2 linked regions of the Arabidopsis thaliana genome follow. The protein of the gene in region 1 interacts with the protein of each later gene in a pairwise test. Each region holds a gene or a part of one and is shown in the gene's direction. Other genes may lie near its edges.

What was found. Proteins that work in one complex are often made in the same cells at the same time.
Region 2: the proteins of AT5G55330 (region 1) and LUL1 interact in a protein complementation assay, tested with the Arabidopsis thaliana proteins (one large-scale study listed by BioGRID).

The regions. Positions count from the first base shown.
Region 1 is NC_003076.8:22,434,864-22,442,398, reverse strand, and holds AT5G55330 (MBOAT (membrane bound O-acyl transferase) family protein), read left to right. Parts: upstream 1-3,514; 5' UTR 3,515-3,533; coding exon 3,534-4,574; 3' UTR 4,575-4,928; downstream 4,929-7,535. Other genes in the region: AT5G55350 (MBOAT (membrane bound O-acyl transferase) family protein), read left to right, coding at 1-43; AT5G55340 (MBOAT (membrane bound O-acyl transferase) family protein), read left to right, coding at 1,413-2,414; AT5G55320 (MBOAT (membrane bound O-acyl transferase) family protein), read left to right, coding at 5,700-6,719. UniProt on the Arabidopsis thaliana protein: Catalyzes the final step in the synthesis of long-chain linear esters (waxes).
Region 2 is NC_003076.8:758,550-766,137, reverse strand, and holds LUL1 (RING/U-box superfamily protein), read left to right. Parts: upstream 1-4,297; 5' UTR 4,298-4,470; coding exon 4,471-4,913; intron 4,914-5,030; coding exon 5,031-5,496; intron 5,497-5,583; coding exon 5,584-5,688; 3' UTR 5,689-5,819; downstream 5,820-7,588. Other genes in the region: DIP2 (E3 ubiquitin-protein ligase), read left to right, coding at 2,799-3,068; AT5G03204 (uncharacterized protein), read left to right, coding at 3,741-3,851; CPUORF47 (peptide upstream protein), read right to left, coding at 5,990-7,295, 7,478-7,588. UniProt on the Arabidopsis thaliana protein: Acts as an E3 ubiquitin-protein ligase, or as part of E3 complex, which accepts ubiquitin from specific E2 ubiquitin-conjugating enzymes and then transfers it to substrates (in vitro).

The DNA.
Region 1 (7,535 bases):
CAAGTTTTTCTACCTTTGTAGAAACCAATCGCTAAAATCGTAGATTTATGGTTATAGCTAATTTTATCAATCATATTACTTTTGATGATTTGGGAAGAGAACTAAAGAGATATTCTGTGATTGAAACGGCTTTGGTAAATGTCAAATCGTGGAAACAACGTCATTGTTTCTACTTTCTAAGTCTAGATATATTTTATAAAATACAAATCTAAAAGTTTTGTGGACAATTTGAGTTGAATAAGACAAAACAAGTGTTTGATTTATATATTCGACTTATATTGGACAATTTAAATTTGGTTTGTGTAGTGGACCATTGCAAGTGATTATGTAAGTGCACCATCTTATGTTCTTATACAAGTGAACATCTTAAACCAATAATTGCTCTCTGATCCAACTATGCGTAATAAAAAGTGTAATTAAACGAGGATTTTAGATTACGTTTACACAAACCATTTTTAATCACACATGTTGGACTGCAACCAAAGAGAGATCTAATACCGGGTTGATTGGACTAAACCAAACTTCTGTCTATTCACTATTATAATTTTCTTTTGTTTTTAAGTCATTCGGATTGTTGCACTACTTCGTGAATTGGTGTAGTTAGTTGCCATCAAAAGTGTTTTGCTCAGAATTGACCATATAACTTCTACTTATTTTGCTTATATTTTGCTTATATTTTGATTATGTTATGCTATATTCTGTCTAATTTTGTTAACTTATCGGACACTTGGTTTAATTTAATATAATTATGTCATGAGACATGTTCAATTAAAATAATAAGATGTTGGAGAAAATGAGAAATTGGTAAAAGTGACTTACCTCTAGTACACTTCGTGAAATTGCTAGAGATGGGATTTTGGGAGGAAAATGGTAGAATGATTAAAACCCCAAGGTAAAAATCTCCATAATGCATTAATCTTCTACCCATTTTAGCTAAGGCTTACTTTCGAATGCTGTTATAACTTATAAAACTAACAATGATACTTTTTTGTTTTTATAAGAATGTAAATATCATTAGTAAAGAAATGTAGTGGTTATACAAAAATGCTTAACTAAAGTTTATTGTGTCCTTGTAAAAAAAACTAACAACGATTCTTATCACTTTATCACGCGACCAGAATTTCTTACTTAGACCAAATGACCAACCATTCTCCGATCCTCATTCCAAGGAGATATTTTACAATATTTGTTACATTTACTACTCAACACTCCACAACTACCCAATGACTCAATATTAATGCTCTTCTTTGTAGCCTTTGATCTACCTCTCACCTACTTTATGTAATTGAGGTTGCCTCTGTAACAATGTAACTATAGTTTTTCCCATTTCAAGACACATAAAAAAATAGCCAAGTAATAAGTTATAACCTCGGTGATTGCCAAAAACAACAACACAAACAAAGATCTGAGAGATGGATGAAGAACTCAAGAACTTGATCAAAGTATGGGTTTCTGCAATAATCTCGATATCTTATTGTTACTACATACCACCTAGAATCAAATCTGGTGCTCCTCGATTCCTCTCTGTTTCCCCTGTTCTTGCTCTGTTTCTTGTTCTTCCTCTGTTTTTCTCCTCTCTGCATTTATCTTTAATCACAGCGTTTTTCCTCACATGGCTTGCTAATTTCAAACTCATCCTCTTCTCCTTCGATAAAGGTCCTTTAATCCCAATTCCAACAAATTTCCCTCGATTCTTCTGCTTCACTTGCTTCCCCATCAAGGTTCAGCAAAACCCTAAATCTCAAAACCATTTGCCCAAATTGGTTTTCGCCATTAAACTTGCAATCTTTGCAGTGCTATTACATTTGTATAGCTACAGACAAAATCTGTCTCCGACTATACTATTAGGTCTCTATTTTGTGCATCTCTACTTAGAGATTGAGATTATATTAACGTTTGTTAAAGTTGTTGTTTTTATCTCTCTTGGCTGCGATCTTGAGCCACAGTCCAATAAACCGTACTTAGCCACATCTCTACAAGACTTCTGGGGTCGCCGGTGGAATCTCATGGTTCCGGCGATTCTCCGGCCAGCCGTTTACGCACCAATGCGGCGAGTCTCTGAACGCAAAATGAGTTCCGGTTGGGCTCTGTTTCCGGGGATTTTGGCAGCGTTTATCGTCTCCGGTTTGGTTCACGAATTGCTCTTCTTCTATTTGATACGTGAGATGCCTACAGGAGAAGTTACTCTGTTCTTTGTGTTACATGGCGTTTGTACTGCTGTAGAATTGGCGGTGAAGAAGAAAACGACGGTAGCACAGCGGTGGCGGTTGAGTCCGGGGGTGTCGCGGGTTCTCACGGTGGGGTTTGTGTTTGTGACTGGTGGTTGGTTGTTTACACCTCAGCTTAAAAGGAGCGGGGTGATGGAGAGATTCACATCTGAAGCTGTGTTGCTCGTTGAGTTCATTAAGCGATAAGTTATTTTATTTACGTTGTTGGGGATATTTTATAACGAGTGTTAAATGAGCACGAGTTAACGTTATTGAGTCCGGTTGAGCATCAAAGTCCATAATGGTCAACTACTTATCTTGAAATGAATCGAACTTGTCTTGTTGAAGATGTCGGCAAGTTGGAATTAGTAGAAACTCTTTAAGATGCTGCCAGCATGTCTCTTGGTCTCTTCATGCCGTTTCTTTCTTTCTTATCAAACCCTAAAAAAACTGACTTGCTTCAGTTCCAAGTTCGTTGTACATGACGATTTGTTTTTACTTGGAACTAAAGAATGAAATAATAGTGTTACTTGGAACCAAACCAACACTTCCTATCGATCGATCAATTTTTGTTCCCTCGACTACTGTTTGTGTCATGTTCACGTGAACCCTTTGTAGAGAGATTATCTAAATACAACATAGTTGGGAGGAAAGATCGCCAAAGAGCGTTAGCGAGAGGAAGAAAAAAACTATATGGATTTCCCATATAACGTCAAGCATAGGTCAAAATGTTTACTCTGCTGTCAAATTATTTAAGAAATAGAAGCTTCATTGCTCCCTCATCGGTAGAATTCGTCAACTTATTGCAGGTTTTGAATCATTCAAATTCTTTAGTTCCAGGCGAAAACGAATTTTTATGATATATTGATATTGCTTGTGTAGTTGTGTTACGAGAGATGGGTGCGTTTCAACTCGTACTTAGAACGGGAGGTCCCGCATGGCTTCATAATCGCATTAAGGAGAAACGACAACCTTAGTTTTATTTCACTGTTTTTTACGAGTGTTAATTATGCTCTGCTCTGCTAACTTTTTCATAAAAAAATTCAATATTTAAGACGTTGAAAAGAAAAACTATAAACGGTAGTCATACTTATTTTTTTTTATTTTTACATACACTACTAGTACTATATTACTATATCATAAAAGAGGAAAGTACTTAATTTGATAGATTTTCCAGAGCCATTAACTACTCAACAACTGCCAATAGTTTTTTCCCTTAAATGTGTAACAAACATACTGTCTTTATTAATTGCTCCCACGCTTATATACTACAACTGTAAACATTTTTCCTATGTTTCTTGGTTTATTATCACTTAACCAGTAACCATGGAGGAAGAACTCAAGTTATTCATCCAAGTATGGGTTTCTGCAATCATTTCAGTAACTTATTGTTACTACTTAACACCCAAAATCAAAACCAGTCTTCTTCGATTACTATCTGTTCTTCCTGTTTGTGTTTTGTTTCTTATTATTCCTATCTTTTTCTCCACTGTTCATTCCTCTTTCACTATTGCATTTTTCCTCTCAGGTCTTGCAGTTCCAAAACTCATCCTCTTTGCATTAGAAAAAGGTCCTCTTTTTCCACTTCCTCCTAATCTCCCTCATTTCGTCTGCTTTGCTTGCTTCCCCATCAAGCTTCAAAAAAAACCTAACCCTGAAAATACTAACCATTTCCCCAAATGGGTTTTTGCCCTGAAAGTTTTCATCTTTGGTGCCTTGTTACTACAAGCGTATCATTACAAACAATTTCTATCTACGAATTTTCTATTGGGTCTCTATGCTCTGCATATATACTTGGAGCTTGAGATTTCCTTAACCTTGATAAAATTTCTCGTCAGTATCACTCTTGGGTGTGACCTCGAGCCACAATTCAACGAACCATACTTAGCCACCTCTCTACATGACTTCTGGGGTCACCGATGGAACCTCATGGTCTCGAAGATTCTCTGGCTCGCAGTGTACAACCCCATACGGCAATGGCGAGCCAAGAGCTCCGAGTGGGATCGGTTCTTCGCGATTTTCGCCACGTTCCTCGTCTCTGGTGTGGCTCACGAGATTCTCTACTTCTATTTGACACGTGAGAAGCCTACATGGGAGGTGACTTGGTTCTTTGTGTTACATGGGTTTTGCATGGCGGCTGAAGTGGCACTGAAGAGGAAGACGAAGTTGGTGCAGCGGTGGCCGGTGAATCCGGCAGTGTCGAGACTGCTTACGGTGGGGTTTGTGTTTGTGACTGGTGTTTGGCTATTTTCCCCCCAGCCTATTAGGCACGGCTTGATGGAGAGGTTCATCAATGAAGACTTGTTTCTAATTGATTTCTTTAATCGTAAGTTATATATCCTCTTAGGGTTGTTTACGAGTCTTTAATAAATGGGAAAATTGGAAACAAAGGATAAATATTTAAAGAAAGAGATGGTAAGATTCTAAGAGAAATTGAAGCGAGGGAAATAAAGAAAGATAAATTGAAAAAAAAAGAGTTTTGTTTTGGAGTTATTTGAGAGGAGTGAACAGCTTAATTTTTGTGAAGAATAGAGGAAGACAATATCGAAGAAGTGATGAACGACGACTCCAAGTAAAAGAATATTGATTTGCTCCAAGTAAAAATAAATTGGTTTGGACTTTTTGTTTTGTATTTTGTAAGCATAAAAAAGCTGGAGATATAGTGGGATTTAAATTATATTAAACGCATATGTCACCAATCTTGATCATAAAATGTATAGATGGAAATTTTTTTAAATATTTATCTTTTATTTCCAATTTCCCCTTAATAAAATTTACATGTTTATTTATCAAAGTTGTTTTGTTTTCGCTAAACTATCTTACAAATAAATTAATAGGTGTTGAAGACAAAACTTCATTTTTCATCTATCCTAAAAATAAAGAAACCTGAAAAATATGGCAAATTTACTAAAAATATTCCGGTAGAGTAGTAGTCTTTTTGAATAATAGTATTTTTCGAAAATTGGTACATCTAAGATTCAAAAGGGGTATTTCATGAAAATTCCTCATATATTTGTCTATACTAAAAATATAACTTTATAATAATTTGATGAAATAAATCGGTGATTAATATTTTTGGACAGTTAGGTATACTGGTCTAGTGTTAAACTTGACTTGAAGTTGAACCATGTGAATTCTCCCATACGGAGAACTACCACCTTACACCGATAGTCTCAACTAAACATGAACCATAAACTCTTTGACAATTTCTCACTTTCTTTTTATTTTTCTTCTTTACTTTGAATATTAATTAGTTGGCTGTTGGCACGCTTTTGGTTACTCATCTAATTCACACTATATCAAATCACATTACAGAGAGGCGTTTGAAGAGTTCTGATTTTTATTTTTTTTTATTTTTGTGTAAACAGAGAAAGGAGTCAAGGACTGATTCTAATACTGATATAACGGAAGTAGTGGGTAAGTTGTAGTTGTAGCAAAAACCAATGTTACTTGCTTAAACTCAGCAACCCATTAACAAAAAAAAACTGAGAGATGGAGGAAGAAATCAAGAGCTTGATCAATGTAGGGTTTTTAACAATTATCTCAGTATCTTACTGCTACTGCTTACCACCAAGAATCAAATCTGGTGTTCTTCGATTACTCTCTATTTTTCCGGTCTGTGTTTTGTTAGTTGTTCTTCCTCTGTTCTTCTCCTTTTCAATTTTCACTTCCACCACAGCGTTTTTCTTATCAGCTATTGCCAATTCAAGACTCATCCTCTTTTCCTTTGATCAAGGTCCTCTTTTTCCACTACCTTCAAATCTATTCAGATTTACCTGCTTTACTTGCTTCCCAATCCAGCGTCAACAAAACCCTAAATCTCAAGATCATTTGTCCACGTATGTTTTTCCCGTTAAAATTGCAATCTTTGTTGTGTTGTTATATGTGCATAACGACATACAAAACCTTCCTCGTACTTTTCTATTGTGTCTCCATCCACTGTATGTATATTTGTTACTTGAGATTCTCTTAACGCTCCTTAGAATTCTAATGACTATCATTCTTGGTTGTGACCTAGAGCCACATTTTCACGAACCATACTTAGCCACATCTCTTCAAGACTTTTGGGGTCGCAGGTGGAACCTCATAGTCTCGGCAAGTCTTCGGGCAATCGTCTACACTCCTGTGCGGCGTGTCTGCCAACGAGTAATGAGCTCTGATTATGCAATGTTGATTGGTGTTTTTGCGACGTTTGTAACCTCTGGTGTGGCTCATGAAGTGGTTTTCTTTTATATAACCCGTGCGATGCCTACAGGGGAAGTCGCTTTATTCTTTCTCTTACATGGAGTTTGCACGGTGGCGGAAGTGGCAGCGAAGAGGACGGCGTTTGTACGGAGGTGGCCGGTGAGACCAGTCGTATCTTGGATGTTCACGATAGCGTTTGTAAATGTGACCGCTGGTTGGCTGTTTTTTCCTCAGTTGATTCGGAACAACCTGGGGGAGAGATGCTCCAATGAAATCTCCTTGCTCATTGATTTCTTCAGAAGCAAGTTATTTTATTTTCCCCAGTGAATTACATTTCTAAATGGATTCCGTAGGGTTATTGTTAACAATCACATTATTTAATGATATACTTACAAAAAATGCAGCTATCACATTATATAAGAACTTAGAAGTTAACTTAAAAATTAAGTTGCTATGTATCTCATTCTGTAAGTTAATATTACAAAATCTCAAATTTGCATTACAAGACTAAACTTAACTATGACCTCACCACACGCAACACCCAAGTTATAACCTAGATCAGTGATTGAAAAACGCCAAAAATTCATAACAAAAAGAAAGTCTGAGACATGGAGGAAGAACAACTCAAGAGATTGATCAAAATATGGATTCTAGTTGTAATCTCAGTATCTTATTACTTACTTATCAACCAGAATTAAAGCTGGTATTATCAAAATAGTCCGGATTCTATTTTCCAAAAGTCCATGGATCTCCAAAAATGGGCCTTCATATTAACAAAGCCCAAGTAGAGGTTGCCGAAGAAAACAATCCCATTCCCTAAACGACGTCATATAAGCGATAAAGTCAAAAGGGGTCAAGACTCGCTGACCCATGGAGAGTCTTTCGTTAACTTAGCCTCTACAACACAAAAAACGGACAGAAATCAAAGGCAGGTAAGAAATCCGTGAGGCGTGTCCTGAGATTCATATCTGCTTCATCGCCGATTTCGTCGTGGCCTCAGGTAGTTGCATCAATTTGATAATTCTTCCAGATTTCGTTTGAATTTGAACTCAATTTCACAAATTCATTTTTGATTTCAAAATTAGGGTTTCTCTTTCCCATTTGGGAATTCGAGTTTTCAATTGTACAATTGAGAGCTTTGTT
Region 2 (7,588 bases), about 22 Mb from region 1:
TCAATTCTACAAAATTCACAACTAGATAATAAGAGCATCTCCATTAGTAGTCTGTCACATAGTTTCTTATTAACTAAAAAATATAAAATAATAATAGAGTAGGAGAGAGATAGAAGAGAGATTGAGAATAGTTTCTCTGCAGAAAAACTTTCGAGTAATGATTGAGAGACTATGTGTATATGTGTGTTTATAATTGGACAGAAACTAAATCATAATAAAATATTATTATATTTTTTTTTTTTAGAAACTTTTAAAGTATCTTACCAATGGAGATGGCCTAATAACTCCTATAACGATACTTTATTTTAATTTTGCATGAATTATCATATATGCCGCGTGCATGTATAGAAGATGTGTATCCACCATGCACGTAGACATTCATTGTAGATTTGTTGTTGTACATATCCACATATAATATGTTATATTTATGTATCACTTTAGCTTACTAAAACAAAGAAGTCATAATTCATAAATAGTTTCAAGTCTTGTATGTGTTTTATTTCCTTTGTCGCACTCACACTACCTATACTTCTTTTATACTATTGCTTTCCTTACAACTAAATTATGACGTTTGTGAGATTTTATTATACTAGAAAATAATCGTCAAATAAAAGAGCGTCTTTGCCTGTTGAACCAATTACTATTTAAAATATAGAGTAGTGTGGTCAATTGATTAATTATTGGTCGATGACCTCTACATAATTGGAGCTTTGAGATACATAACAAAACACAAGTACCAAGAAAAAAAACAAATAATAATAATGCATGTAGTAAGATAATAATCGAGCTTCTTAAATCTTCTCTTGTCTTTAATAATATTCCTATATATTCTAATTATGCATAGAATCCTACGTGATTAAGAAACATCAAATTCTCATTGTTCAGCCGTATGATCGTAATCTTTCTTGTTAGTTGCATATCTTCTACTTGTTGGGATTTCAATTATTGTTTTATCACCGAACAAATAACTGTTGGAAAATTTCATATTATGTCAAATGATCAGCTCCGTATTGTATCTATGCTTATGTTATGTTCGAAAAATGGACTCCTAAAAATGACACATTACAAAAAAAAATAAAAATAAAAAATAGCTTCGAGGCCTTTGAGGGTAAAAGCTCTAACCTCTCTCATAAAAGAATTAAAAATGGATCTTTGGATATCAAGAAAATTATTTTGAAATAATTAAATTGAACCAAAATCAGAAAACAAAACACATGACATTGTTGATTTGTCGTTTACTAAACCGATTTTCATTTGCCTAATTCTATTTTTATTGTGTTAGATCAAATAATGATGTCATCTTGTGTGTTTTACAACTAATAATAATTAAATTAGCAATTAACTATGGTAGACCTTAGCTTCGACCACCCTATACAAGCATATATCAATTTCGGTTATCAAAAAAAAAAGAAAAAAGAATCCGTTTGTAAAATTTTGCTAGTGAATTATATCTCTAATCCATATTCTCGATTGATGAAACATTATTCTGACATACATTAAAAAATTAGTTTAAGAATATTTTTGCAAAACTTATGCGATGTGATAAGCTCACTTTTTTTAGGTGACATGTTCGATCATAAGGTGCCAATAATTCCCTAGAAATAGATTAATCTCTATGTAAAATATCGAATCGTCTAGTGACAAGTACATGGTATACCTACCTATTCACTTATTATTTCTATTTTTGTCGTCCTCATGCATCTTATGTTATAATATCAAATGACGGAAAATGAGGGATGAATTCTATAAGCTAAGAAAACTAAAATAAGGGGGAAATTGCAAGAAGAATGAAAGCAACCTTTCAAATATCCTTATCTTATCCAATCCTTTTCAGGCCATTGACTTATTTTCTAATTAACCTAATTATATATATAAGAAAAAGCTAAGGCATCTTATATTTATATATACATATATCAATTGATTGCTAATAATGTTTTGATTAACTCTGCATATGGCATGTTTTCCAGCGATTTAAGTTCACAAAGAAGATTTTCGTTTTTGTCATCACTAAAAATTATCTAGTTCTTTCTACTTTTTCAGCGTACAATAATCTTTTTTTCTATCAATTGGTACGTTTTTTATTTTCTCAATTTTAATTTTGTTTTCTAGGTACATTTTTAATCGAATTGCACCAAAATATCCAAACAAATCAATAAAACAGGCAGAATGAGGTATTACCGTATTAGTTAAACGAGAAGTGGCTACTTTCCTCAGCGTGATTAAAATGCTTATGGGTTCAGTTTCATAATTCTCATATACGGAACTACGCATTTGACCTCATGCTCTCTATAAATATTAAGATCTGATGTTGAGAGCCCATTAGAACTAAGTTTACGAATGAGCCCATGATAGTTTAACTTGGGCCTAATTAGTGTCTAATCTGCTTCTAACGTTACCGAGTCAAACGCGGTCTAAACTAATTTGTAGAGTAGTGTATTTGTCCAAAGCGTACCCACACAATTGCTGAGAAACTTCAAACCCTAAGTGTGTGTCTAGTATTTTGCAATATACGACGCATAAAGAAATATCCTAACATTGACAACAACAAAAAAAAATCTTAGCGGAGATATAGACGTGTGAGACAAGAGCTCACACGTGTTGCACATTCGAGACTTGTTGATAATGACGACAACAAGAGGTTCTAGAATATTCGTGTTGGTTTCATTATTATTAGCAAATAAGACCAAGTCAACAAACTAACTTAAACATTGTGGATCGTCCACTTGTCCGACTCTTACGTCAAACCCATCATTGTTCCACATATCTCCACGCGTCAATCTCTCTATAAATACGAACAAATGAACACGTATCAATTCAACTCAAAAAGTAACAATTTGAATTACTTCCGCAAATCTAAAATAATATCTAGTGAAGCGAATATGTGTTTCTTTGATAATCGGTGCGATCAGAATCTGACGGTGGTGGTGGATGTGGCGTGGTGGATGGAGGCTGTTCCTCCACAAATCATTTCTCCGGCGAAGCCATCGGTTTCTCCGATTCTTGAGACGATTTTAGAAGGCGGAGAGACCGAAGAAGACAATCAAGAACAAGAAAACGAGGACGTGTAAATTGTAATGATCATTTTGTTACTCGGTCTTGGGTTTAAGATAGACTCTTGTTGTTGTTGTTGTTTTTTCTATAACTGTATAAGATGAGATTTTGTATTGTATCTTTTGTACAATCAAATCTCAGTTCTTTGTGAAATTTTCATTCAACTTTCACATCTTGTACGCTCGGTGATCTGTTGTTATATGCTCACGAGTTGGTAATTAAAGACAAATCTTAATATACTTTCTAACCGAACCGGGACGATAACCGGTCCACGACAAAAAATCAGTATCTTCAAATATCAAACCAAACTTAAACCTGAAACCAGTCTCACCGCTATTTCTGTTTGGTGCGATCATTTTCTCAACCAAAAGAATCTAATTTACATTAATTTTTAATAAAGACATGTATGATTTATCTGCAAACTAAAGCAGTGTACGCATACTTATGTTTCAACTTTCGAGCATCACCTAAATATGAAACATAAATATCACGTGCGATAAGTATTAAGCTGCGTCCTATAAAAAAGTATACAAATATATAAAGATCACTTGATGATTAGTTAATTACACTACTACTATTCCTCTCTATCTCTATAAATATCAGCAATAACAATAATTTCCACATAGATCTTCTCAACACAGTCGAAAGCTGCCGAAGTCTAAATCGAAGAAAGAGTATATTTACAAATCATGGCTAGGATGATCGGACCATTCGAAACTGTACCGGCGATTCTTGTTTATCCGATGAGGGTTTCAGCTTCGCCTTCGCTGGGGACAATTTATGAGGAACACGATGAGTAAAATTTTAACAAGACAAGATCAAAACTCGAGTGTTTAATTATTTTTTAATCCATTTTAATGAAATATTCATTTTGAAATATATCTTGATAGTGCTTTCTATTTCTTGGTTGATTTCCACTTTAAACTCTTTTTTATCGACGTTATTATGATCTCCTATATAATCAGACATAAGAGAAGATGTTTCTTAATGACGATCAGTGCAAGATGTTTCTTAATGACGAGCAGTGCTTCTTGTAATCGCCGGTATTAATGGATGTGTTTCTTTGTTTTCCGATCAACCTCCAAAACCAATCTCGTGTCTCCGGTTTTGTCATTTCGTTTCTTCTTATTTTGTAACCGTGATATTGTTGTGAGGCCTTGGGCCTATTGCCTGCCTAGTGCTACTGATAATGATTTCTTTGTTTTATGTGATTAAAAGTAATAATCAATTTCCCATGGTAATTAATCAAGTTTAATACTAATTTATAATATATACAAATAAACGTTTTGGTGTTTCTTCGTCGACGTCGCTATCTCCAATCTCATTACTCCCCTTTCTCAATGATCATAAAACCTACTTCGATTCTACTCCTTATCAACTGAATCACCGAAAAACCTCACCTTTTTTCTTTTTCCGATCATGGGGAATCTGATCAGTTTGATCTTCTGCTGCGGGAGAAGGCAGAGGAGCAATATTCCTCCGGCGATGGAAACGGCTCCTCTTGAACTCCCACCGAACAGATTTGTATTCGCCGCCGTGCCACCATATCTGAACCCTAACCCTAACTACGTTGACCAGTATCCAGGTAACTGCCTTCCTCCGCCAGTAACTGAGCCGCCGATGCTACCGTACAATTTCAACCATTTGCATCACTATCCTCCCAACAGTTACCAACTACCTCATCCTTTGTTTCACGGCGGTAGATACCCTATACTGCCGCCTCCTACGTACGTCCACCAGAAAGCCGTCACGATTCGTAACGATGTTAATCTGAAGAAGAAGACTTTAACGCTCATACCCGACCCGGAGAATCCGAATCGACTTCTTGTCTCCTTCACATTTGATGCATCCATGCCCGGAAGGTTTTACTTTCAAACTATGAAATGATCAAATTTAGTTAAAAGTTTGAATCTTGTTTGAATCAATCAATGGAGTAATATAAATGACTTAGCTTTTGTTGTTTTGGTTGGCGAGAACAGGATCACAGTTGTTTTCTTTGCTACAGAAGATGCAGAATGTAATCTTAGAGCTACAAAGGAAGATACTTTGCCTCCAATCACTTTTGATTTCGGAGAAGGACTTGGTCAGAAGTTCATACAATCATCTGGAACGGGTATAGACTTGACGGCGTTTAAAGATTCCGAGCTATTCAAGGAGGTGGATACAGATGTCTTCCCGTTGGCGGTTAAGGCGGAGGCAACTCCAGCGGAAGAAGGAAAGTCTGGTTCCACCAATGTGCAGATTACTCAAGTGGTGTATACCAAGGAGAAAGGAGAGATTAAAATAGAAGTGGTGAAGCAGATACTATGGGTGAATAAGAGGAGGTATGAGCTGCTTGAGATTTATGGGATTGAGAACACGGTTGATGGTTCCGATGAGGGAAAGGAATGTGTTGTATGCTTGTCTGAACCACGCGATACAACTGTTCTTCCTTGCAGACACATGGTATAGTGTTCATCATACTTAAAATTAGCTCATATAAAAAAAAAATTGAACTTCTTTTGAAATGGTTTGTGTATTTCTGTTTGGCAGTGTATGTGTAGCGGGTGCGCAAAGGCGTTAAGGTTTCAGACAAATCTGTGCCCAGTTTGCAGACAACCTGTTGAGATGCTTTTGGAGATTAACAAGAACGGATGAAATGGAGATGGAGAATGAACAAATTTAGTTAAGCAATCGACTTGTGTAATATATGCCATGCTTAATTAAGACGTAAAACGTTATGGTTCAATATATTATAAGTGGAAACTGAGTTCTTAAATAGCAATGATAAACAGATAGGCAGCTTCTTATTTAGTTATAGGTGCTTGGCCAGGAGCTGTGGTGGCCGAGGACCAACTATGGCAAACACAGAAGGTGATGGCATTACAACTGAGACAAAGACAGACACGAATCGACGTAGATAAGACTAAGGCGAAGCGAGATTGAGTTTTACATTGGTTTAGTCTTCCCACCATTGATGAACAAACACACCTCTGGCTCTCAGAGTTTGAAGCATGTTGATGCAGTCTGACTTGTGGTTGGAACAGCGGAGGAAAAGCTCATCCACGTAGCATATGACTCCTGTTTCCAGTAAAACAGTTAGGAACTTCATTTCCACTTGGTTTGTGTTCATCTTAAGGACTACAAAGTCTGCGTATTTCGCAGTTTCCTCAAACCAAGCAAGGAAATCGAATCTCTCATCTTCTGGAAATGGTTCTAGCTGTTCAAGCGGAGTTATCTTTTTCCCTGTCGAGTTGTTCTCAGCCAAATCCGGATGGTAAACAAAGGTGACGCCGGGTTTCTTGACATAGGATAGCATTACTGAAGTGTTGTGGTCGACAAAGTAGACATTGAATGCTTTGCTGTCGAGTGGGTATAACGGAAAGAACCAGTTTGGAGTTAAATTAGCATCCATGTGCTCGGCTGCTCCAATGTCAATGTAGACAAGGCTCTTTTTCAGAGAGAGATCAAGGAATTTAGGTAAGTAAGCTACTGATTTTGGGAAATCAGCAGGCTTTTGCTCCAGTAGAGGTTCCATGAACTCTGTGTAAGGTCTATTGGTGTCAACAGATTTGCAATCTCTTGGTAGCTGAGACTTTCCAATACAATAAGCAGTCTCCGTTACATTCCTCTTGAATACAATGACGGTGAACTTATCCAAGTTGTTCACACGCACTATCTCAGACTGCTTAAGCCCCGAAGTCACGGATTTGACAAGACGATTGGCATTAGTACTCACAAGGACTGCTCCGGTTCCACCAGGCTTCAGAACCCGCTCCATCTCAAGCACAAGAAGAGCAGGGGAAGCAACATGATCAACATCCCCACAGAGCACGAAATCAAAAGACTTGTCACCACTAAGCTCAAGCTCGTTGACATGCTTCCTACTGAAAAAGGAAAACAATGGATGCTTAGGAACCCCTTGAACAACTGAGAAACCCATCTCTTTGAACCCTGAAACAGCAGAATCCGATCCCTGACCAATGCAGAGAATCTTAGCATCATAATGCAATAGCTTTAACCCCATGAGCTCATCAACGAGATCAGCAATTACCACTTGTGGATACTTCTCTGTCTCAATTTTACCCCAGAATGGTTGAACGAGCTTATGGAAGAACAATTTCGGTCCTGGAATAACAAATCGGCCGAGATCGACCAAATCCACTGCTCCATGATCACCAAAGACGTGATTTTTAGCGGTTAACTCCAACAAAGGGACAACAGATAGAGCAGAGGCGATGATGAGAGCACGAAACAGAGCATGCCTATTCGTAGATCCACGGAAGATATTAAGCTTCAAGATCTTTATACCCATTGATTTCTTCAAATACTTCAGCTCCGATGGAATCTTAAAATATGATTAATGTCTAGTACGATTTGCTAAACAGATCTTAAGAACAAAGAAGAATCGCAAAGAGAAAATCGAAGAATCTAGCGAGTACAAAACCTGGAGGAGGTATGGTTTCCACCCACGAGGAGAACTATAGATATTTGTGATCCAAACCAGACCCTTCTTGGAACCCTAATCGACTTCACCTCCGTCCCCATTCTCACCGTT